Oryzias latipes: one gene and its partners. The protein of the gene in region 4 purifies or fractionates together with the protein of the main gene of each other region. This does not show direct contact. Links are inferred from orthologs where the notes say so. Each region holds a gene or a part of one and is shown on either strand. Other genes may lie near its edges. The genes, in order: mybbp1a, ribosomal RNA processing protein 1 homolog A, gnl2, lyar, gtpbp4 and nucleophosmin.

Region 1 (3,500 bases), on a different chromosome or scaffold from region 4:
GTCCACTTGGCCCATGAACGGCAGCTAAACAGAGAGGGACACATGTCAGGGTTTCTTCACACCTAGCAGGGCTGCAAAATTTCCTTTAGGTTTAACATTTATTTCTTTATAGTCTACAATCTATACTTTCTGGTTAAAAAGGTTTTTTACATTTTCATAAAATAATTCTTCTCAAATTTACAGTCTGGGTTTTTCATTCTCTTTAATACAATCCTGATCTGACCCCATAACAACCAAGCTACTATTTTTGTCAAATGGATCTAGTTTTATCCAAAAGAAATTCTGTTTGACTGTTGAGTCATAAACTCTGATAATAGGATTGATTATATTATTGTTCTTTCAAGACTTTCAGAAGGTTTCATTTTGTTCTCTTTTCTTCATTTGTGAATAAAAGCTTTTCCGTTGAAAATGTCTTTTCTTCACCCATTTTCCAAAAGCGTATGTCAGACAGCTTTTGTTAAACAGATTCTTTTTGCAAAAAGTTGTTCAGAAAAACTACGCTTATTGTTTTTGCAGATTATTAGCATTGGTTTCATGATGTAACAAGTAAATAAATAAAAAAATAATCGAACATCAATTTTGGGATTTTCTCTTTAATGCAAAGATGTCCAATCTTTTTGCAAAGAGGGCCGATTTGGAGAGGTGAAAATAATTAAATCATCTGTATAATATAGTATAATATAGATATATAATATAGAATTTAGTCAATCACAATCAAGAAACTGTACAACCAGATTTTCCAAAGCGCTGTGGGCCGCATAGTATTCATTTGGTGAAGGGAGTCAGTGGGTTGGTGAAAATTTGAATGCGGGTCGCATTTGGCTCATGGGCCGGACTTTGGACATGCCTGCTTTAATGCATTTTACCTCTTGTCGTAGTTTTGACCTGCAATGCCATCCTTTCTGGGAAAAGTGCTAAAGAAATAAGCTTTACTTACTTACTAAATGTTTTTGAACTAAAGGCTTTCCACCTCAACAAATGAACATTTAAAATATACTAAATGGATTTGTTTTAAAGCAACAACAAATACTAAAGTAAAGGAGAAGATTCCTGTGAAGATGACAGGTGAACCAAAAGGAGGCCAAGTAATCCAGGACACTTCATGACCCAATAAAAATCCAGGAACAGACCTGACTGCTGAGCACCCAAGACACTCAGCAGGTATGAACGGCCTTAGTTTTGACCCCGAGGTAAAGCGAAACCTGCAGTTAATTTACTTTTGTTTTAGATTAAAATGAAAACAGAAATAAAATATTTATTTATTTATTTTATAAGAGTATCGGTAAAATACCGGATCAAAAAGCAGTATCAATAAGAGTAGTAGTACCGTTAAAACCTTAACGATACCCATCCCTACTCGAATGATCTGAGCAAGGCAACAACATGAAAGGAAGTCAAATAATAAACCTACATTGTGTCCTGTGGGTTTCTGAGCCTCTTTGGCTTCGACAGGAAGAGCTCCTCGCAGAAGTTTCACCAAATACAGGCATGCACTGAGGAAAGGAGAGGAACACGATCAACATGGAGTCTAACTCTAACTTCAATTTATACTTTCTGTCTCTTTTTACCACAGGCCTATTTTTTTAAACCTTTCCAAATGACAGTGGAGACAGGATTCTACCTGAAGTAGTAGAGACTCAGCGAGGAGTCGGACAGTTTCTGGCATTTGGTCATCAGCTTCTCCAGCAGGTCATGCAGCTCCCCCTGCCTGTCACCTGCGGTTCTGCAGTAACTTTTAGACCTACAGAGCTGGTTCCTGATAGAAAAACATGTTTGTGCCCTTTAATCAACTTCATCCCATTCAAAATACAAATGTGATCAATGAATGAAGCTTAGGGGAAAAAAAAGGAGAACAAATGTTTGACATTTAAGTTCAGACTACAAGAAACTCTGCTGATAGATCAAACTTTCAAACTTTATTTATAAAATAGCGCTTCTCATGCACTTTGTGCAGCTCGAAGCGCTTTAACACTAAAAACAGTAAACACACAACATTACAATAAAAACCCCAACCCACCCTTCACCCTTCCCACACCCCTCCATTAAACCACATGACCCATGGCTCCCACGTACAATGAAATATGACTATGTAACTGTAAAAGAATAAATAAATAAATAAATAAACAAGTATGGCTTAGCTCTGCTGTGAGGAAACAGTATCTGGGAATCCTTTCATACCAGGAGCCAGCCCGGCCACCGGAACATCGCCACAGTGCCCACCCAGACCGGGACAACACCGGGGTCCCCCTCACAGCCAAAAGCTGTAAAATTAGACCCCAGCCGCCCCAGCAAGGGCAACAACTGCAGCAACAACCGCTGACCAAGCCGGCAAGCCCTGGAGGAAAAGATCCCCTCAAGAAACACTGGGGCTAAAATCATAAGATGCTAAAATTAAAAACATAAAAAAGAAAAAACATAAAATTGAAAATAAGATGCATAAAATTAAAATAAATACATAAATAAAATAGCCTATACTAAAACTAATAGAATAAATTAGCAGTTAAAATCAACTAAAAGCTAAATTAAAAAGGTGGGTCTTGAGCCTCTTCTTAAAAACCTCTACTGTCTCTGCGGCCCTGAGGCTCTCCGGAAGGCCGTTCCACAGGCGAGGACCGTGATGGCAGAACGAAGCCTCACCATAAGTTTTGGTCCTCACCTTGGGAACAACTAAGAGGCCAGTACCGGAAGACCTCAAGGTCCGCGAGGGCTCATATTTTAAAAGAATATCATTTAAATAAGAAGGCCCAAGACCATAAAAACATTTATAAACCATTAAAAGAATTTTAAAATCAATCCTGAAACGCACAGGGAGCCAATGCAGCGATTTTAAAACCGGTGTAATGTGTTCCCGCCCTCTGGTTCTCGTCAGAACTCGTGCCGCTGAGTTCTGTAGAAGTTGTAAGTTTGAAAGAGACTTTTTGGGTAAACCAGAGAGCAGGGCATTACAGTAATCTAAACGACTGAAAATAAAAGCATGCATTAGCACTTCTGTGCTGGCAAGAGAGAGGAACGGGCGGACTCTGGCAATGTTTTTGAGATGATAAAATCCTGTCTTAACGACATTTTTAATGTGTGGGATAAAATTTAGCTCAGAGTCAAAAAGTACGCCCAGGTTTCTCACACATTGAGAAGGTTTAAAATTATGAAGATGTGGTAAAATCATCTCTCTCTTGTCTTCAGAACCGATGATTAAAACTTCAGTTTTGTCCTGGTTGAGCTGTAAGAAATTTTCTGCCATCCACAACTTTATATCTAAAATGCAGTTTAAAAGAGTGTTGACAGGTTCCAGGTCATCAGGAGACACGGCGATGTAAAGCTGTGTATCGTCAGCATAGCTGTGAAAGTCAACGCCATGTCTCCTGATGACCTCCCCAAGAGGCAACATATACAAATTAAAAAGTATTGGCCCTAAAATTGACCCTTGGGGAACCCCACAGCTTATTTCGTGGATTCCTGAAGAGCACATATCCATACTTACATAAAAGTGTCGATCTGTCAGG
Region 2 (2,650 bases), on a different chromosome or scaffold from region 4:
CTTCTTCCTCCTCCTCTTCTTCACTTTCTCCTGGCAGTCAACCGATGGCAGCTCAGTTGTCAGACGGGTTTCCTCTGAGATCTGACTCTGGGGTCCGTTCATCTTTTTCTTCTTTGCTGCTGTTGCCACGGTAACCTCAGGTGTTTTCTCTTCGCCAGCTTGCAGGCTTTCTGCATTTCCTCTGGCCTGCTCAGCTGCTGACAGTTTCCTCTTCTTCCTCTTCTTCAGAGGTGAGACGGGTCCTGGTTCTGGAGACTCTAGGGGTTTCGGGTCCACGTCGGCACCAGACTTCTGCTCGTCTCCTGTGGCCTCTGGCTGCTGTAACGCTCCAGCAGAGACTTCAGGACCTCCGGTCTTCTGCTGGTCCGCTTCTTCGGCCCTTGGACTTTTCTTCATCCTGATGGATGAGACCTTTCTCCTCTTTGGAACGACCACGCTTGACTCCACGCCGCCTTCAGCCTCCGCTTTGACAGAAGCCGGCGAGCCGTTGACTGGAGGCCCAGCTGGGGCCTTCATCTTCTTGGCCTTGTTTGTGATCTCAGCAGGAGCTTCATCTTTGGACTCGGGAGGTTCTGAGGCTTCCTCTGCTTCGACCCCCAGAACCTTGCTTTTCCTCCTCCTCCTCCTCTTCTTCTTCATTAAGGAACCGCGGTTCTCTGTTTCAGCTGGAGCCGAGGTCTGCTGAAGCTCCTGAAGCTCTTGGAGCTCCGCTTTGGTGCTCTTCTTCCTCTTTGGTTGGTCTTTCTGCACGGCAGTGCTGAGCTCTTCCTCTGCAGCCTTTAGCTCTGGGGTTTCTTCTGGACCCTCTGATGGATCCGAGGCTCTCTGCAAACGCTCTTCTGCCATCTTCACGTCAGCTGCAGTTTGGTCTTCAGAGTTCACTTCATCTCCAAGAACTTCCTTCTTCCTCTTCTTCTTCTTCTTCTTCTTCACCGCTGCCTCTGCTGGTTCATTGTTCTGGTTTTGCTGCTTGGTGACGTCGCTTCCTGAAAACAAGGAAGCAGAATAAAAGTTCTGCCTGAGACGACCCGGCCCGGCTACAAGAACCCCACAAAGATCAGAAGATGATTTCAGTTTGAAAGAAAAGTCAACAGAACCAAACCGACAAAGGTTCTGTTTGACAGGAACCACAGCTGTGAGTTCCAAGAACCGGCAGAAGGTTTGGATCCACCCCAGCGGCTGAACCGCCCACCTGACTTGGAAGCCTTCTTCTGTCCTGCTGCCGGCTCTTCCTCACCACGGCCCAGGCGAGCCGCCCTCTTCATCCTCTTCCTGCTGCCGAACATGTCGTCGTCTTCGTCCGTGGAGACCTCCTCCGGATACTCGTCCTGAGGAAACACGCCTGAGCAGAGGAGCGGAGTGAGACCCTGAAGATCCACGAGAACCGCAGTAAATCCAGGAGGTTCTACCTTCACTGAGGTCCTTCAGCCTGCAGCAGCACATGGAAGACAAGCAGAAGCACAGAGGATCGTTTGGACTCAGTTCTACAAGTTCTCCTCAACAAAACCAGAACATTTCTGTTCTGATAGCAGCCACAGAGGTGGACCTCAGTCCAACGACCAGCAGAACCCGACAGGGGAGCCTTGGGCCAGACAGGAGGTAATGTGGGATCTGAGCTCCTCATCCAAGTTCTACATTCTAGCACCCAAGAACCTGGCCAGAACCAGATTCTGGTCGTGTTCAAACACTTATGGACCAGAGGAGCACAGAAACACAGACGGCACCAAAAGATACTCACACTTTAACGATTCTGTAGAGTTTTCGTCGGTTCTGACCTGGCGTGCTGCCCCGACCCGCCAGCGCCAGGAGCCGGTCTGCAACAGCGGCGTAATCGAACTGAAAAACACCAGAAGAAGCTTTAGAGGTCATCTTCATCATCGAGATCTGTTTGTGTGGCAGACAGACGACATTTGACCTCTTCGCCTAAACGCTGAAAACAAAGTCTTTAAAAAAGTTCATCTCAGCAGCAAATAGAAGTTCTGAGAGGTTTGTTTCTAATGACATCTGGTACCAGAACCATGGGACGGTCTGAAGCCAAAGCTTCTTCAAATGATACAAAAATCTGTTGGTTTTCAACCAGCAACCGTCTCCTCGTCATGGAGGACAGATCTGCTAGATGATGTACGTTCTGATGGCTGTTGGACCGGCCAGGTTCAGACCACCTAACTCCTGACAGCTGTCCCTGTCCAGAACACTCAAATCATCAAGACCCCACCCCTTACCTGTAAGACTGGTCCAATGTCCTCATCACCTGAAAGCTGGGACTCCAGGTCCAAAGGAAGAAGATCCTCCTCCTCTTCCTCACTGGAGTCTTTGCCTGAAAGCAGAAACCTAAACCAGCTATAGGAAACCAACACAATGAGGCGACAGGGGGAGGGAACACGAGAACAGGGGGAGGGAACACGAGAACAGGGGGAGGGAACACGAGAACGGGGGGAGGGAACACGAGAACGGGGAGAGGGAACACGAGAACAGGGGGAGGGGACACGAGAACAGGGGGAGGGGACACGAGAACAGGGGGAGGGAACACGAGAACAGGGGGAGGGACACGAGAACAGGGGGAGCGAACACGAAAACAGGGGGAGGGAACACGAGAACAGGGGGAGGGAACACGAGAACAGGGGGAGGGAACACGAGAACAGGGGGAGGG
Region 3 (4,113 bases), on a different chromosome or scaffold from region 4:
GTTGTACAGGTGAGAATTTAAGGCTGTATTGATGGCAGTCTATTCAATAATTAACCAGTTATTATCACTTCCATTTCTTTCAGCTCCTCAGACTTCACACAGTCTATAAATGGACGGAGATCAGTTAGGCTCTTGGTTGCCCAAAGAAGATGAGAGGAACAAACAGAAGGTCCAAGTTGAAAGAGGGTAAAATCTCACAATGTCCCGTGTGAAACAATGACGTCAGGTCAACCCCTGAACTGCAGAATTTAATGATAAATGACTAAAATAAAATGTAAAAACAGTAATTTATCTGCACATATTGGTTTGACACAACTCAATTTTCAAGGGAAAAGGAGAATATTTCTCATTTCGGGCGGCCATGGTGCAGTGCTAGGGCGGTCGCTCCCATGATTGTAAGATTGCAGGTTTGATTCCCTACTAGCACGCCCATGTGCTGAAGTGTCCTTGGGCAAGACACTGAATCCCACCTTGCCTCTGGTGGGAGGTTGGCACCAGTGTTCGGCAGCGGAGCCGCCACCAGTGTGTGAACGTGTGTGTTCATGGGTGAACGGGTCTGTGACTGTAAAGCGCTTTGGGCCTTATTCGAAAGAAGGTAGAAAAGCGCTTTATAAGTATACGCCATTTACCATTTAAATTTGAAACATGCAGAGCACACGCCTCAAAGTCTGACGCTGTGGTTTTTGACTAGTAAAACGATCATTTACCCTCTCCAGATTGATGGAAAGGTCATGCTCCAACTACAAGAGTTTAAGTACCTTTCTTGTTGAGGTCTCTCACTTAAATATGAGGGAAGCATGGAGAGTGAGATTGAGAGAGTCATAGATGCAGCGGGTGCAGTAATCCAATGGCAGAATAAGGAGGGGCGCTGAGCCAAAATGGGCGAAACTCTCATTTTACTGGTCAATTCATGTTTCTGCCCTCACCAATAGTCATGAACTTTGGAAACAATAAATTCCCAGATACATGCAGCCAGAATGGGCTTCCACTGCAGGGGGACTGGGCACCTCTTTAAAGCAAGAGTCAGGGGCTCAGCCACACAGAAGGAACTCGGAGTAGAGACCCTGCTCCTCCACAGCCACAGAAGCCAGGCTGGGACAGCTCTGGGACAACCTCTGCCTCCTGGATGCCTTCCTGGGGAAATAATCTGGACGTGTCTGGCCTGGCAACACATCCGAGTCATCCTGGAAGGGCTGGAGAAAGTTTCTGCCTTCAGGGCATTTCTGCCGAGACCAGTGATGGGCAAACCTTTTGACTCCTGGGCCACAAAAGGTTCTAAAATTTGATGCATGGAGTGTTTTGGTAATCCATCTCATTAAAGAAGGAAATAACATGGTATCTGGACAAAAACATGTTTTAATTTAGATTGAAAATGAATATACATGTTTTAAGACAGAACATTGTGGAAGTTTTCTTTTGAAACTGTGGCTTTTGTTTTTATTGTAGTGCCAATTACACCAATGGGTGGCTGTTCCTCAGGTGAAAAAAAGCAAACTTAGAGAAATGCTGCATTTATGTGGTGTTGGAATGATCGGAAAAATATCCGCTCCACACAGAAAACGCACATGACCGTAAGAAAGACAACAAGCCTTCCAACACCACATGAATGCAGAACAACTGTCTACACCTAAACAAAGCTCAACCTATTTGTAGTGCACCGTTTATGGGGACACTCCAGAATTGAAAATTAAACTTTAAGGATTTATCAATATAATTTATTCCATCTTGGTGGGCCAGATTAAGTAGTTTAATAGGCTGCAGTTTGCCCACACCTGGCCCAGACTGTTGCTTCTGTCTACCAGGTTATTATTATTTTTCAGCTATTTAAGCTAAATAATAAATGCTCATTACAGCCTAAATTTCAAGCCTTTTTTTATAGCTTCCATGATTTTTTTATGATACAATTTAAGACACACAACATTCACATATACAGCATGAAGATGATACTTACTAAACCACTTGATGTTTGGCTCAACTCTGGCTACAGTTCCTGGAGCGACTGTAGATTGATACTGTAGGGGTTTGATCACTTTTCCATGTTTATTACTGCGAACAGAAACTCAGCATCAGTGTGAACAAAACCAATGATTAAAGTTACAATAAATATCTATAGAGAAGCAAGATAAATAAGATCCCTGTTGAGAATCAATTACCATCTTTGTTTCTGTCTGTACATATTCAGACGCTTGATTGTGGCTCGGTCCCTCATGTTGTTCCCACCAGCTCCCTTTGCCCGATCTGTAAAACGCACAAGATGTAGTCAAGTTATTCCTTCACTAGTGAAACCTGTATCGGTTTTTCAAACATGTCTAATCTATTGTCCTAACAACAACATATATTTTACTACTAGAGAAGATTGTTTTGTGTTAGTTCACTTCAAGTTCAAAATGTCAGAAAACTTGACAGAATTATTCGGTTAAGTGCAGCAACAAACAGTCCGCTTTCTCAAATTAAAGAAGTAAAACGTATGTCTGCTTTAGCTTGGTTGACACTTAAGCTTAGCAATTGAGCCGGCAAAACGTTTTCTTTACTCGTTAGCCATAGTAGTTAGCATCGAGTGTAAACAAACGTGTGCTAGCTCTGTGCTTTAGCTCACCGGGGTTGCTGCTGGAAGATGAGGGATTAATCGAGCATTTCCCCTTAAACTTCGGCTTCACCATGTTGAAAACTTCCCTGGCAAAGCCTACCAGAAGAAAACCGAATGGAAAACCTGAGGACTATGTCCAAAAAAGAAAATTTAGGCACTATGTTCTGTACACGTACTATTTACACGTGCTAGAGTAAAGAAAAAGGAAGTGGCGTCATAGAAGGAGCGACAGACGATCTAGCCAATCAGAAAGCTCCTGGGATTTTCCATCGTGCAAATGATGCTCTTGTGTTTTTAGGATCGCAGCTCTATAAAGTGTAAAAAAAAATACTAATAAATTGTAAAAAACAAAAAAAAAAACATCAACATTTTTTACAGTCACATCTAAATTATGAAAATGTTTAAACGGGCATCAGTAAGGTGAAATCTTGCAGATGAAACTCACTTAAATCACATTTTTCTGTGCTTTATGAGTCAATTAATAATAATAGGTCATGCCGCAGTTAAAATAAAGTTAAACACATTTGATTAAATAGTTTATCTTTAGCTATGTTTTTATGATGATTATGCATACTCAATTTACTCAGTTCAGGCTCCCACCGTTTTTTGACTGTATTAAATTCAAGAAGTTTTTTTCTGCAGCTGTAATAAAAGGCAGTTTACAAATGTGTGACACCTGAATTTTACAAAAAAGCAGAATGCTAACTTAATTCCTATGGTGTCTTTAGGAATTTCAATTTTAATTTTTAATCTTACTTCCTTTCTCTCAAAAGTTTTACTTTGACTTTTAAGACAATAGAAGCGATTACTGCACAATGACCTTTCTGTTGTTTAAACTGTAAAATGTTCCCCCACACCATAAAAAGAAGTAAAATTCTATTTATAAAATAAATATCCTAGAAGTTATTAGATCAAAACAGCCAGTCACAGAGGCCACAATTATTTAATAAAAAGTGTTACAAGTTGTCGGTAAATCTTTTAAAAAATTGGAAAGAGACCATCCGGCACTTAGTTTATGCAGCTGGGAGGCAAAGGAATGCTCTCTGTTCATTTTCTGACAAACGAAAGGTGATTTCACTTTATCTATAATCCTTTTGAAGGAAACTGTTTTGGGTCACTATGTTAAAGTTCAAGCAGATGAAACCCAATTATTAAAAAAATATGAATTTGAATAAATTTTTAATGTTAAATTTAATCTTATAAGATGTTTTTTTTAAGGTTATTCATGCAGCGAGGAAACAGTTGTCGTTTCTAATTTTTTTAAACTTCAGAGACGCTGTAATTTTTTAAAGTATTATTTACAGTCCCCACAACAGCAGCAGACAATCTAAAGCCCCACCGCCCTTCCCGAATGTGTTGCTTCAGTTGCTTCCTTGCATGAATTTGCATGTGTTTATTTTTTTAGTAAATCATCAGATCCCATAATGTCTGTCAAATGCAACACATCTTTGTGACCATCTGTTGAAAACCCCTCAATGTTAGCACTGTAAAACTGTAGCAAAACAGTAAACTAGTAGTCTTTTTTT
Region 4 (4,052 bases):
TTAAGTCAGTCTAGAGTTAACTTACCCAGAGGAACAGCTTGATCTTCAGCCTCATTTGACATCTCAGCATCATTAGCCTCTGCTGCAACCTTAACTGGAAAAAAGGTTGAAAGAAAACAGGAACACAGGCCTTAAACACAAAAACCATCCTTTTTATCAAACAAACAAAAAAGTGTTGTAATAAGAAAAAAAAATGTTATTTACTCCTTTTCTTGGCAGATATCTCATTTTCATCACAGTTTTGCTCTTCATCTTCTGCTTCTTTGTGTTTTCTTTTTCCATCCTTTTTCCTTTTCCCTGTTTGGCTTTCTTTCTGCTCTTGTGTGACTTGTTCGTCATATAGTTTTGGAGCTTTTCCGTTGTTCTGCTGCCGGGCCTCTTTGCGTTCTCTTTTGTTCATCTTTTTGTTTTTCTTCACATCTTCGTGGCCAAACGGAGTTTGAGTTCCATTAGTGTTTGCTTGGACTTCAGCTTCTTTCTCCATGTGCTGCTGTGTATCTTCTGGAACCTGGGGTGCAAAAGATTACAGATAAGCAAAACAACAGTACAGTGAAAGAATGAACGGTATTACACAACACTTAATACATTTCCAGCCCTTAAATATCACATTAATATTATTTTCCATTGATTTCCATTAAAGCTTAGGCTCCCCAGCTAATAATTTAGTGTAATATTTACTTTAACAAACAAAACAGCTACTTACATCGACGGCAGCAGCAATTATGTTCCACACTTCCTCGTGTAGGCTTGTGTTGGATATTTTTAGACTGTTTTTCATCCAGTTCTGAAAGAAGAAAAAACATTAACAGTAATAAGTAAATACACATTTTAATAATCTTCCTGGTAAAAGCCTAAACCCTTCTTACAAGTTTTGGTAACACCAACCTGAAACTTGGCTTTCTTCCTGGGGACATTGTCGTATGCACTGACTTGCCTGAGCACATCTCTCAGCTTGGGACTGATGCTTGATTTGTTCAGGGCTTCATGGATTCTCTTCAGGAAAAGACACAAGTCAGGATCCAAAAGAAAAACAAATGTTCACATATAATCGAACTTGGGAAGATGTTTACCTGTAACCACTGCTGTTGTTTGACATCGCCTTTGTTTGCCTTGGCCTCGAAGCCTTTCCCCCCATACTTCTGGTCTTCACTGATACACTTAGTGTGATTTTTATAGTCGTCGTCCCTAGGTAATACGCAGAAAAGAGTCACATTGAATGCGTTACTTGGTCAGTCACAGAGCTCATTATGCGTTAGAATAGAGTATAAGAGAATAAATCTTTATTGATCCCACAAAAAGGAAATTTCCGTGTTACCATAGCTCTATTAAAAAACAGCAGATAGATAATAACTAATACTAAAAAATACACTTAAAAATGAAGAACAGTGATTATTCCCCAGTGTAGTGGCACTCTCTCTGTGTCTTTCTCTTGTTCCACCGTTTGACGTCTGTCCGGCAACTGTTATTTGAAACGCGAGTGAGACACGCAGAGAGAGTGCCACTACAATTTAGTCAAAAAACGATATCGCTTCCAACTTTCTCCGGCTTCAATCAACAATGAGTCTCACTAACAGCATCTCTGTGACGTAGGGTTTTTAATTGGAAGTTCAAACAATAATTATTTAAATTAACTATTAAATCAAAACAGTGCATTTGGCTCCAAAAATAACTATTAAATATAAACTGTGAATTTGGCTCCAACATCCAGTGTCTATGAGGTGTTGTAGAGTCTAGTAGCTAACAGAAAGAAAATTCTGTGACAAGGTGTTGAAGTCCATGGTTTCATGCTGAGGATGATGATGAAGAGGATTGTCCATGATGCATTTCAGTTTCTGTAACATCGTCCTGTGACCCTCCACAGTCACAGACTCTATAAGGGACATCCAGAATGGAGTCGTATCTCCATACCAGTTTGTTGATCCTCTTCCTATGTCAGTTAGTGCATCCGCCACCGCCCCAGGACTTCGCCACAATAAAAAAAAATCTTAAGAGTCCTGTAAACTCTGAAGAGACCCCAGTCTCCTCAGCCTCTCCTTCGATCTCCGGTCACTTCTCTGGTGGAATTTTGTTGTTGCCAAGCAACAACAGCTGATCGATGCACCCGTATCCCACTTCAGACCCAGAAGTGGTGGGAAATAGTCAAATTAGGGCTAGCAGGCACGTGACAACGCAAAAGAAGCCCAAGGCAATCAAAATCAGTTTAGAGAAAGAAACAAATCAAGTAAGCCTACAGGGCACTACGGTAACCTGCAGCCTAGTACCATGGCACCGGTTGGAGGAAAAACAAACTTGTTCCCGACGATATTTTGTAATGTTTAGAAATAACCCAATTGGTCTTACCAGAAATCTTTTCCGCAGTCAATGCAGGACAACACCTGACACCCACGGCAGATGTTCACGTGTTTATCGACCTGGGCTTTTTTCAGAGACTCGCCACACGCATTGCAGGTGAAGAACACCATTTTGATCAATTTTATCCACAGAAGCAACCTTTCTCTAAATTAATAAAGACAATATGTAGATTAAACCAGCAAAACGACAGAAAGTTAAACCACTTTAAACACCATCAATTAATGCACTGACTAGAGACCTGCCTACGGCAAGCTAACGTTTTTTCTAGTAAGTTATAAAAAACGCATGACAAAGAACAAAACCTTCATTGTCTTTAAAAATACCCAAAAATTAGAGCCCGTTAAATTAACCTCTTTAAAATTTTAATTTGAGCGTAAACGTGCGGGTTGAGTTTCTCCCGTCTAAACTTTTGAACAGACACGTGATTACATTCCTTGAAGCTACAGTCTTGATTCTCCGTATAGAAATTTTAACTAGACACCAGTTCCGCAGACCTTTTTTTTTCTTCCTGAAAACCTTTTTTTACATTTCATAACACAAAATAATTATACTACAAAGAGGTATATTTACGATTTCAACAGCACTTTAGAAATGTATATAGTCCCACTGTTTGGGGGTTTAGTATAAGATGTATTTCTTTCCCACGAGGGGTACAAAATAAGCGTTGTACCAGGAAGTTACGTAATGTTATTAAGCGCGAGTGACCCGTCATCCCAATAAAAGACGAAACACTTCACAATGATTTTGGGACCCCTCTGAATGGATATCGACAATAGTAAAATAATATATATAAATAAACACCTTTATAATTAAGACAGGTCAGCTGTTTATTTATTAGTTGTCATTGTAAATGGCTCGAATAGCCACGCTGTTAGCTTAGTAGCAGGTCAAATTTTTGCATGGACGGTCTTGTAGCGATTCTTGAGCTACATGACAGTTATTTTTGAAAAAATATATATATATATTTATACATGGACTGCGGTGTGTGGCTCACTACTAGAGTTCAACCCTTTAATCAACTTTTACTTTTGACTCGTAATCAACTTTTACTTTTGAGTCGTGTAAACTCAGGCTGTTGTTGTTGTTTTAAATGTGATTTTTGTGTGTTTCGCTTTGAAAAGGGGGGAAGCTGAGTGATCATAAATGGAGACCCTGTCCAGCCACAGCTCCTACCTCCTACAGCAGCTCCAGGAGCAAAGAATCCAAGGGCTGCTTTGTGACTGCATGCTGGTGGTTAAAGGAGTCTGTTTTAAAGCTCACAAAAACGTTCTGGCTGCTTTTAGTTCCTACTTTAGGTACTTTTATGCATTTATTTGACAACAGAATATCCACATGAGGTGTTGCTGTGAACCCTAAGAGATATGACCATTTTTTACATTTGTTTTTCAGGTCTTTGTTCCAAAATTCTCCCAGTCAGAAGAATGACGTCTTTAACTTGGTTATCCAAGATGTCAGTGGCATTGGCCAAATATTGGACTACATGTATACATCCCACCTGGACATTAACCAAGAGAATGTACAGGCACTTCTAGACATAGCACAGAACTTACAAGTTCCAAACGTTCAGAATTTGTGTAATGCTTTCCTCAAACCTTGCCCCCCACCCGTGGAAATGCATTCCTTCACTCTCCCAGGAATGCTAGGCTCAGAGCACGATTGCCTTCTGGGAAGCAGCCTGACTCACGATGTTAACCTGCACT
Region 5 (3,500 bases), on a different chromosome or scaffold from region 4:
CGTCAAAATAAGCAGTTTCTTAAACCTTTTGTAGCAACGTTTTTCTGATTTTCTGGAGATCCAGGTGCAAAAAAAGACATAATACATAATATTCTAAATTAGTATTTTATTCTTTAGCAAACAGCCTGTTTTCTGTCGACATCCACCGTAACAGCTTAATAAGCTGCAGAAAGTCTGCTATAGATTATTTTTTGACAGCACCACAGAATCCTAACACTCACCTTCATGATATCCGGATCGATGTAGTCCGCGATGTTGTGTCCCTCCCACACCTCCGGAATCCTGTCCTGCTTCTCGTCCTCGTTCATCAGATCCCAGTATTCTGAAAACACCACCAGGACGTGAGCCGACTGTCTTCACCAACTCCTCCATCAGAAGGGAAGCCAACTCACTCTGCAGGTCCAGGATATAGTCGTCACCCAGCTCCAGCTCCAGGTCTCTCTCCTGCAACATTTTAGATTGATGGTGAGAAATCTCGGAGCAAACCTGAATGTCAGAATCTAAACTGTCACACGGAAACGTTAGAGGTCAACGGTGAGGATGATCTTCATCAGTGCTTTGTAGTTTAACCTGAAACTGTGTTTAAAGACCAATTCTCTCTGAAAGTAAAATCCTCTGAACAGGTTTGTAAACGAGCTCCTCAGATTCTCAGAGCAGAATTTTTCACTTTCACTGGCCCCACCTGAAACGTTTGAAAGATTTCTCCTGAGACGTTTAAGCTTCCTGGTGATTGGAGACAGTAGTTGCCCTAGAAACGTGACTCAGACCAATCGCTGTCAACTGGCTCCAAATGGTGGCGCCCGTATCCCAGAAAAATGGCAACTGAATCGGCTTCATTTCGATTGAGCTGGAGGTGAGGTGTCTATGGTCTGACTTCATTTTGAATTTTCTCTCAAAAGCAAAACTTTGCCTCTTTACAAATATTTGCATTCATGAACATTTCTCACAAATCTAAAAACCCTTTTTTTATATCATATTTGCCCAGAAAAAGAAATCTGCACCAAAATTTGGATTTGTTGCCCTTCAAAGTTTTCCTGTCGTGTGCAGACAAAAAAGTAAATAAAGGCAGTTTACCATCTTTACACAAAAATCCTCTGTGAGTCTGAAGTTTGGTTTAGTGAGTCTTCATTTAAACAAGTCAGTCACCTTTGCTGTAGCAGCACACGACTACCATCTTCTTATGTCAACCTTATGTATTATTTTGATTTAGACAAAAAAAAATCCTTTTACGCCCTAAAAATGTAGCATAAGAATTTAAAATGAGATTTCAAGCCGTCTATCCTCATGTAGTTTTCTATTCCATTTCAAAGTGATCCTCATCTTCCTGTAGATCACTTTCTGATCCTGCCTGGATCCGCTTGCTGCTCCACATGTGAAATTAGTCATACCAGTTTGCGTTTGGGGGCGTCCACCTCCATGGCTCTCCTGCGGGTCAAAGCTCCATCTGGGATGAAGGGGGGTCTGTCCTGAAAGTCAGGCATCAGAGACAGACGTCAGACACAGAAGCTTACAGCCTCTCAGCGTCCGTCTCCTGTGGGATTTACCTTCTCGTCCCTCTTGGCGGGCATGGCGAGGTGCAGCCTGTTCAGGACGTCGTGGACCTTCTTGCCCTTCATCTTGGTGTTGACGCGGTGGGCGAGGAGCTGGTCACAGGCCTGAACGAACACCGGAGAGATGTCTTATTAGGCAGGAAACAAGGCGTGCGGGGGGGGGCATGAAAGTCTCTGGCTCTCACCTCGGTTTTAACCTGCATGACTCCCTCCTCGGTCAGGGTGCTGGTCTCAATGACGGGGATTCCCTCAGTGGTGAGGTCTGCAAGGATTTTCTGATAGCAAGAGCAGGAATATGAGAGTGCTGCTGAGGTTCTCACAGAAACACGGGAACCCTCTTTCACGTTCTCTTTCATGTTCTCTTTTGTCTCTGCGGTTCTCACCTGGTTCTCCTCAGTCAGCTCGCTGATCTTCTTCACGTCACATTTGTTTGCAACAATGATCAGAGGCTGCAGGACAGAAGCATCCGAATGCTTAGTGATGTCAGATATGACAGCTTCAAATTTCAGCTTAAGCAGACTTTAAAAACCCGAATGAAGGTTTTTTATTCACTTCAGATCTGTAATCTGGGAGTCAGAGTTTAGCCTGATCACCTCACTCAGTAAAGGGCCAAACATATATATACACGGGTGATGGCATTCTTTTCATTTAGTGCTCTAGTATGTGCATAACAATACAGCCAATATAAAAGAAAAAAAAACACAAACTAGACAATTAAACAAAAGCTTGTATATATAATTCAGCCTCCAGAGCTTGTATGAAACTAATGACAGCAGGTCAACAACACATTTGAACCGTCTGTTCTTTGAGGTTTGAGGGTTTCAGAGCTCTGGAGTTCCTCTGTTGCTTCAAACCTTCATAAAACCTGGCTACAATTTGGCTTCACAACTGTTTCTAGTTTATAAGCTATGTGTAGAACGTGGACCAATCACAGCACATGTGATTGGTGTCAACCTCTCTGAAGCTGGAGCTGGAATACAAGCAGACGTGTGCAGAAAAATGAGAAAGGGCTTTGTTTTCTGACCACAGTCATTCAGAGACTCTGACCCACACCATCTACTACAGGAACTGAGTCTGAATCACGCAGCTTTCAGCTGTACTTCCGTGTCTCTGTGACCAAGTTTGGTGACTCGCTGTCCCGACAATTTGGCAGGAGAAAGATGCTGCTACATTTGTCCCCAGTGGAAGGTTGTTTCATAGCAGGAGGAGACTTTGTGAAAGAATGTAAAGTTGCACATTCTGGCATGCTTTTCTTATATTTGGACTTCTTCAATATTTTTTTAAATGTAGGAATATTTTGAGTTCCAAGATGTAAGAACCGTGGCGAGTAATCGGTGTCCCTCTCACCCTCCGCGGGTGGTTTCTCCTCCAAGCTTGGGTCCTCTACCAGAGGCCTGGGAGCTTGAGGGTCCTGCACAGTATCTTAGCTGTTCCTAGCACTGCACTTTTCTGGACTAAGAGGTCTGAGGTCTTTCCAGGTATCTGTTGTAGCCACTCCTCCAGCTTAGGGGTCACTGCCCTGAGTGCTCCAATTACCACAGGCACCACTGTCTCCTTCACTTTCCAGGCTTTCCCCAGTTCTTCTCTGAGTCCCTGGTATTTCTCCAGTTTCTCATGTTCCTTCTTCCTGATGTTCCCATTGCGTGGCACTGCCACATCCACCACAACGGCTTTCCTCTGTTCTTTGTCCACCACTACAATGTCTGGTTGGTTCGCCATTACTGTTCTATCAGTCTGGATCTGGAAGTCCCACAGGATCTTTGATCTCATTCTCTACCACCTTCGGAGGTGTTTCCCATTTTGACCTTGGGGTTTCCAGTTCATATTCTGCACACATGTTCCTGTATATTATTCCAGCCACTTGATTGTAGCGCTCCATGTATGCTTTCCCTGCCAGCATCTTACACCCTGCAGTTATGTGCTGGATTGTTTCAGGAGCCTCTTTGCACA
Region 6 (4,092 bases), on a different chromosome or scaffold from region 4:
ACTGAAAGCAGATTAGACAGCAGATGGTGTGATGAATGCAGACCCACAGAAGGGCAGATAAAAGAACCATCTTCAGAAAAACACTTACTGACGAGGTGCTGTCCGCTCAGATGGATCGGACCGGAACCCGCCTTCAGACGGAACACTGCTGGGGGTGTGATCGTGAACCCGCCGAGACACACCTACGAAATCAAGCATGCAAGGTCACACAAGCTGGCTTTAAAGATCCATATTTAAATGCGCCGAAACAAACAGAATGGGCTTCAGGAACTTAACCTACAACACATCAACGTCACAGATCTTTTCTTCAGAAAAAAAAAATTATTCCGAAATTTGAGATCTGTCAGTACAGTCCTCCATACAAAGGCTAACTGTAAAATATCCTTTCAGGTGAGTGAAGGAGAACTGTGTGTACTTACACTTGGAAGGGTGGAGGGTTTGAGTGACACCAGAGCTGCCTTGATTTTCTGCCCCTCTGCGTTCTGTCCTTCCACCTCCACCATGTTAAGCTCGTCTTTGGTGCTGGGGTCAACACAAGCCTGAAGGGGCAAACAAGACAAGGTCTGAGCTACGTTTTAAACATTCTTGTAGCATTCTTCTCACAATGAAGGACATATTTAAAGAAAACTGAGCTTAAACCTGAATTTTTGAGTCTATTTTAAGTCACGAATGAGGAGCAGATGAAAGAAATGTAATTCTATTTGTGGCGCTGGTGCTACAATGAACGTGCCAAACGTTCCCTGCTCCGGTCCATCCTGCGTCGACTTGTTGACTACTAGATCCACGTCTTCCTCGTCTGAGCTGATTTGTTGCAAACTGAACGGCTGAATAGCTTCAACATTGCTCACCATTTTATTGCACTGCTAATGTTGAGCTAGATTCACATAGCCCATTGTGGACAAGCAAGGAGAGACCACCAACACGTCCAAACCTATAGCTGGAAGAGGCTTGGTGCCAAATGTCAAAACGGTGCAAATCTCACAATTTGGGCACAAAACGATAACATTTTGGTTCGTTGCCAACACCCTTGCAATGATTGAAACTGATAACCACCATGCTAGGAGAGTGTTTCGTTATTTGAAAGACAAACGCAGGCACCATCAGGCCTGTCCTAGTGTCTGGGTTCATTTGGTAAACCAGCTACTCCGAGCCCCTGACTGCCTAGATTCCAGTAGAAGCGCGAAAAACATTTACATAGTTTTACTGAGTTAGGCTGCTCAAACATGAAGTTAGGGGGCGGAGGCACATTTTTCCTGGCGGCCTGCAGAAACTATGTCCTACAAGACCACTTTTTAATACTTTTTTTTGGCATAAATTGGCATTATCATGCTTAAAAGCCACTGGGAACACTTTGACAAAAGATCAAGTGGGACTTTTAATGCATTATAATTCAATACATTTAAATTCATTAAATAAAGCCTGAAATTTAAACGCAGTTTAAAATGATAAAAATCCGCTCATTTAAACCCACAAACAGGACTTCAAGCTAAAATCCAAAATATTTCCATTGATGTGCCTAAAAATTTATTCGACATGAGAGCTCAAACGCAAGAATATCACAGAACTGTAGTCTTCATTTCATTATAATTACCAGTTTGAGATCTAACTGATGCTCCAGCTCATCATCTTCAGGACTGAAGAGCACTTCCTTCCCAGCCTCCAATGTGCATCCTAAAAGACAAAAAACGGTTTTAAAATGAGAGAAAATATCAAACTCAACACTAGAGGGCGCTCTAAACGATGCACCACGTGGGAGAAAAAAGTATTTGATTTCCGCTTAACAGTTTTAAAGTTCCCATATTTTATCTTGGATATAATTTATTTAAAATAAAAACAAACTCTAGAGACTCTAAATAGTTTTTTTTAAGTGTTGGCAGGAGTAAATTTCAAATTTGTAATGACTTACTGGAAGATAAAAACTATTTTGACTTCATTTCTAAACAACTGTTTCACCATCTAAAATAAATCTTTATGAAAGAAAAAGAATCTTTTTTTTCTCTGCACCACGTGGCAAACGAAACAGATTACAATAAAAGGACTAAAACGTATAACATCACGAAATGAAGAACAAAAGAAAATATATGCAATTGTATTATAAACAAATGTGAATAAATATAAACGTAAGTATATTTCTAAAGGGAATTAATTAGGTCAGCTTTAAAGGGGGAGGGGCCTAACGGCACGCTGGAAACCACGTTGTCGAATTTTCTAGAAATTAGTTCATGGTCTTGCAATTTAATTTAAAGCTTTTTATCTATTTATTTTTTCACAACGAATATCTTATGCTAGGGTAAATTAAAAAGCAATATTAATATGAGCTGTATTTGTCAGAAACGTAGTTTTCATTTGGGGAGAAAAAAAGCACGGCGACCGCCATGTTGATATATTCAAGGAGCATGTGCGTAATAAGTCTGACGCCGTATTTCCAGTCATGATCCAGTCAATAAAACACATAAGTCATAAAATAAAAACAGACTACACATTTTATGTCCCTTTCTTTAACGTTACACATTCAATTTTATTCAAAAATGGACCGCGCGCGCCTCAGCGGCCGCTCCACCTCCTCGCACGAGCTATACACACACGTGTGTCCAACGTGCACGAAGAAGAAAAGCAAACCTACCAACTTCTCTTACCATATAAAAATGTCTGTGGTGCCAACGATTCTTCGTCCAAACCGTTCATTTTGCTGACTGACACGACCGCCGCTGATCTGCACGGGAACAATCACTGATCGTGGATGGAAGGACTGATGGGGCTGTTCTTCTACTCTGCTGAAACGGAAGTGATCCAGTGGGTGAGAGCGCCTCCTACAGCTCGGCGGAAGTTAGTGCTTAGGGGGTGTTAGAAATTCATATTGAAAGACAGATGCATTTAAAACAATCTAAAGCTAGTTTCTGATTTTATTGATTATTCAGACGTTATTACTGACGAAAGCTTCATTTTCTTCCCAGATTTTGTGAGGCGTTTGATACAGGGTTCATACGGTCATGAAAAACCTAGAAAAGTTTTGGAAATTGAAAATGCAATGTTTTAAGTTCTTGAACAGTTTGTGAAAAACGAAATCTTCTGGAAAGTTTTGGAAAAGTCATGGAATGTTAATATTTTTGATTAAAAAAACATTAATAAAAAGGTTTTACATGAGATTCGAATTTAAATTGTGACAAAAGTTCAACCTCACTTTCTGAACGGAAGTTCCATATAAGTTTTTCTGGAGCATAATTACACTGACCAAAAATATGAACGCAACACATTTGTTATTGCTCCCATTTTTTATGGTATGAACTAGAGGGCTGCATTGGGATCGGGTCCCGCCGGGTCCCGCGGGACCCAACCCAAATCTCGCGGGATTGGGCGGTTTGAATTGTGCTGCGGGCGGGAGCGGGCGGCAAAAAATAAACCCCGCGGGATCAGTGCTGCCATGAATATCTCATGAATATATATTAGCGGACTACGTTAGGCTGTGCGGCTGTTTGATTCTTATGTACTGAAGCTCCGTGAAGGCACCAGGTAGAGACGCCCAATGGCTTCTGTCATCTAACCTGTTGTTGGGGGTGCGCCCCGCCCCGCCTCTTACTAAGAGCGCGCTTCAGGCCGTCTGTCTGCGCGCGCACACACGCACACTTTTAACCGAACAGGATTTGTGAAAATATATTTAATAATTAAGTTGCACATTACACAAAAGAGGAATGCATCAAAAGATGAGTCTGGAGGAGGTCATGAATCTCTTTAGTAATAATATCAATACAAATACGTGTTTTGTTCCTGCGGGACGGGAGACGATACAAAATCAATGCATCTCTATTACTGTGCGGGACTAAATTCTATGAGTTTTGCGGGTGCGGGCGGGAGTGGACATACATATTGCGGGAGCGGGCGGGAGTGTAACGCATACGTTGCGGGAGCGGGCGGGATTGGTCAAAAATTCAGCGGGCGCGGGCGGGAGCGGGATGAAGAAAATAGTCCCGCGCAGGGCTCTAGTATGAACTAAAAGATGTGAAACATTTTCCACATACCCAAAATAACCAGTTCTCTGAAATTTTGTTCACAAATCTGTCTGAATCTGTGATAGTGAGCACTTCTCCTTTGCCA

What was found.
Region 1: the proteins of lyar (region 4) and mybbp1a purify together in Homo sapiens (affinity purification with mass spectrometry; 3 studies listed by BioGRID and IntAct, with this or other methods). This does not show direct contact. The link is inferred for Oryzias latipes from reciprocal best matches to the Homo sapiens genes LYAR and MYBBP1A.
Region 2: the proteins of lyar (region 4) and ribosomal RNA processing protein 1 homolog A purify together in Homo sapiens (co-immunoprecipitation; 3 studies listed by IntAct, with this or other methods). This does not show direct contact. The link is inferred for Oryzias latipes from reciprocal best matches to the Homo sapiens genes LYAR and RRP1B.
Region 3: the proteins of lyar (region 4) and gnl2 purify together in Homo sapiens (affinity purification with mass spectrometry; 3 studies listed by BioGRID and IntAct, with this or other methods). This does not show direct contact. The link is inferred for Oryzias latipes from reciprocal best matches to the Homo sapiens genes LYAR and GNL2.
Region 5: the proteins of lyar (region 4) and gtpbp4 purify together in Homo sapiens (co-immunoprecipitation; 3 studies listed by BioGRID and IntAct, with this or other methods). This does not show direct contact. The link is inferred for Oryzias latipes from reciprocal best matches to the Homo sapiens genes LYAR and GTPBP4.
Region 6: the proteins of lyar (region 4) and nucleophosmin purify together in Homo sapiens (affinity purification with mass spectrometry; 3 studies listed by BioGRID and IntAct, with this or other methods). This does not show direct contact. The link is inferred for Oryzias latipes from reciprocal best matches to the Homo sapiens genes LYAR and NPM1.

The regions. Positions count from the first base shown.
Region 1 is NC_019872.2:24,964,417-24,967,916, forward strand, and holds part of mybbp1a (myb-binding protein 1A), read right to left. Parts: intron 1,757-3,500; coding exon 1,622-1,756; intron 1,494-1,621; coding exon 1,412-1,493; intron 25-1,411; coding exon 1-24. UniProt on the Homo sapiens protein: May activate or repress transcription via interactions with sequence specific DNA-binding proteins. Repression may be mediated at least in part by histone deacetylase activity (HDAC activity).
Region 2 is NC_019879.2:31,069,617-31,072,266, forward strand, and holds part of ribosomal RNA processing protein 1 homolog A, read right to left. Parts: intron 2,318-2,650; coding exon 2,223-2,317; intron 1,837-2,222; coding exon 1,739-1,836; intron 1,430-1,738; coding exon 1,410-1,429; intron 1,343-1,409; coding exon 1,193-1,342; intron 987-1,192; coding exon 1-986. UniProt on the Homo sapiens protein: Positively regulates DNA damage-induced apoptosis by acting as a transcriptional coactivator of proapoptotic target genes of the transcriptional activator E2F1.
Region 3 is NC_019874.2:23,620,059-23,624,171, forward strand, and holds the start of gnl2 (nucleolar GTP-binding protein 2), read right to left. Parts: upstream 2,801-4,113; 5' UTR 2,661-2,800; coding exon 2,597-2,660; intron 2,239-2,596; coding exon 2,154-2,238; intron 2,047-2,153; coding exon 1,952-2,046; intron 1-1,951. UniProt on the Homo sapiens protein: GTPase that associates with pre-60S ribosomal subunits in the nucleolus and is required for their nuclear export and maturation.
Region 4 is NC_019863.2:16,779,075-16,783,126, reverse strand, and holds the start of lyar (cell growth-regulating nucleolar protein), read right to left. Parts: upstream 2,801-4,052; 5' UTR 2,463-2,800; coding exon 2,341-2,462; intron 1,186-2,340; coding exon 1,071-1,185; intron 994-1,070; coding exon 886-993; intron 785-885; coding exon 704-784; intron 509-703; coding exon 205-508; intron 95-204; coding exon 26-94; intron 1-25. Other genes in the region: zbtb49 (zinc finger and BTB domain-containing protein 49), read left to right, coding at 3,496-3,647, 3,742-4,052. UniProt on the Homo sapiens protein: Plays a role in the maintenance of the appropriate processing of 47S/45S pre-rRNA to 32S/30S pre-rRNAs and their subsequent processing to produce 18S and 28S rRNAs. Also acts at the level of transcription regulation.
Region 5 is NC_019875.2:8,407,236-8,410,735, reverse strand, and holds part of gtpbp4 (nucleolar GTP-binding protein 1), read right to left. Parts: intron 2,000-3,500; coding exon 1,934-1,999; intron 1,826-1,933; coding exon 1,736-1,825; intron 1,656-1,735; coding exon 1,545-1,655; intron 1,467-1,544; coding exon 1,389-1,466; intron 445-1,388; coding exon 393-444; intron 323-392; coding exon 222-322; intron 1-221. UniProt on the Homo sapiens protein: Involved in the biogenesis of the 60S ribosomal subunit. Acts as a TP53 repressor, preventing TP53 stabilization and cell cycle arrest.
Region 6 is NC_019872.2:18,722,170-18,726,261, reverse strand, and holds the start of nucleophosmin, read right to left. Parts: upstream 2,801-4,092; 5' UTR 2,686-2,800; coding exon 2,637-2,685; intron 1,672-2,636; coding exon 1,592-1,671; intron 540-1,591; coding exon 420-539; intron 183-419; coding exon 89-182; intron 2-88; coding exon 1-1. UniProt on the Homo sapiens protein: Involved in diverse cellular processes such as ribosome biogenesis, centrosome duplication, protein chaperoning, histone assembly, cell proliferation, and regulation of tumor suppressors p53/TP53 and ARF.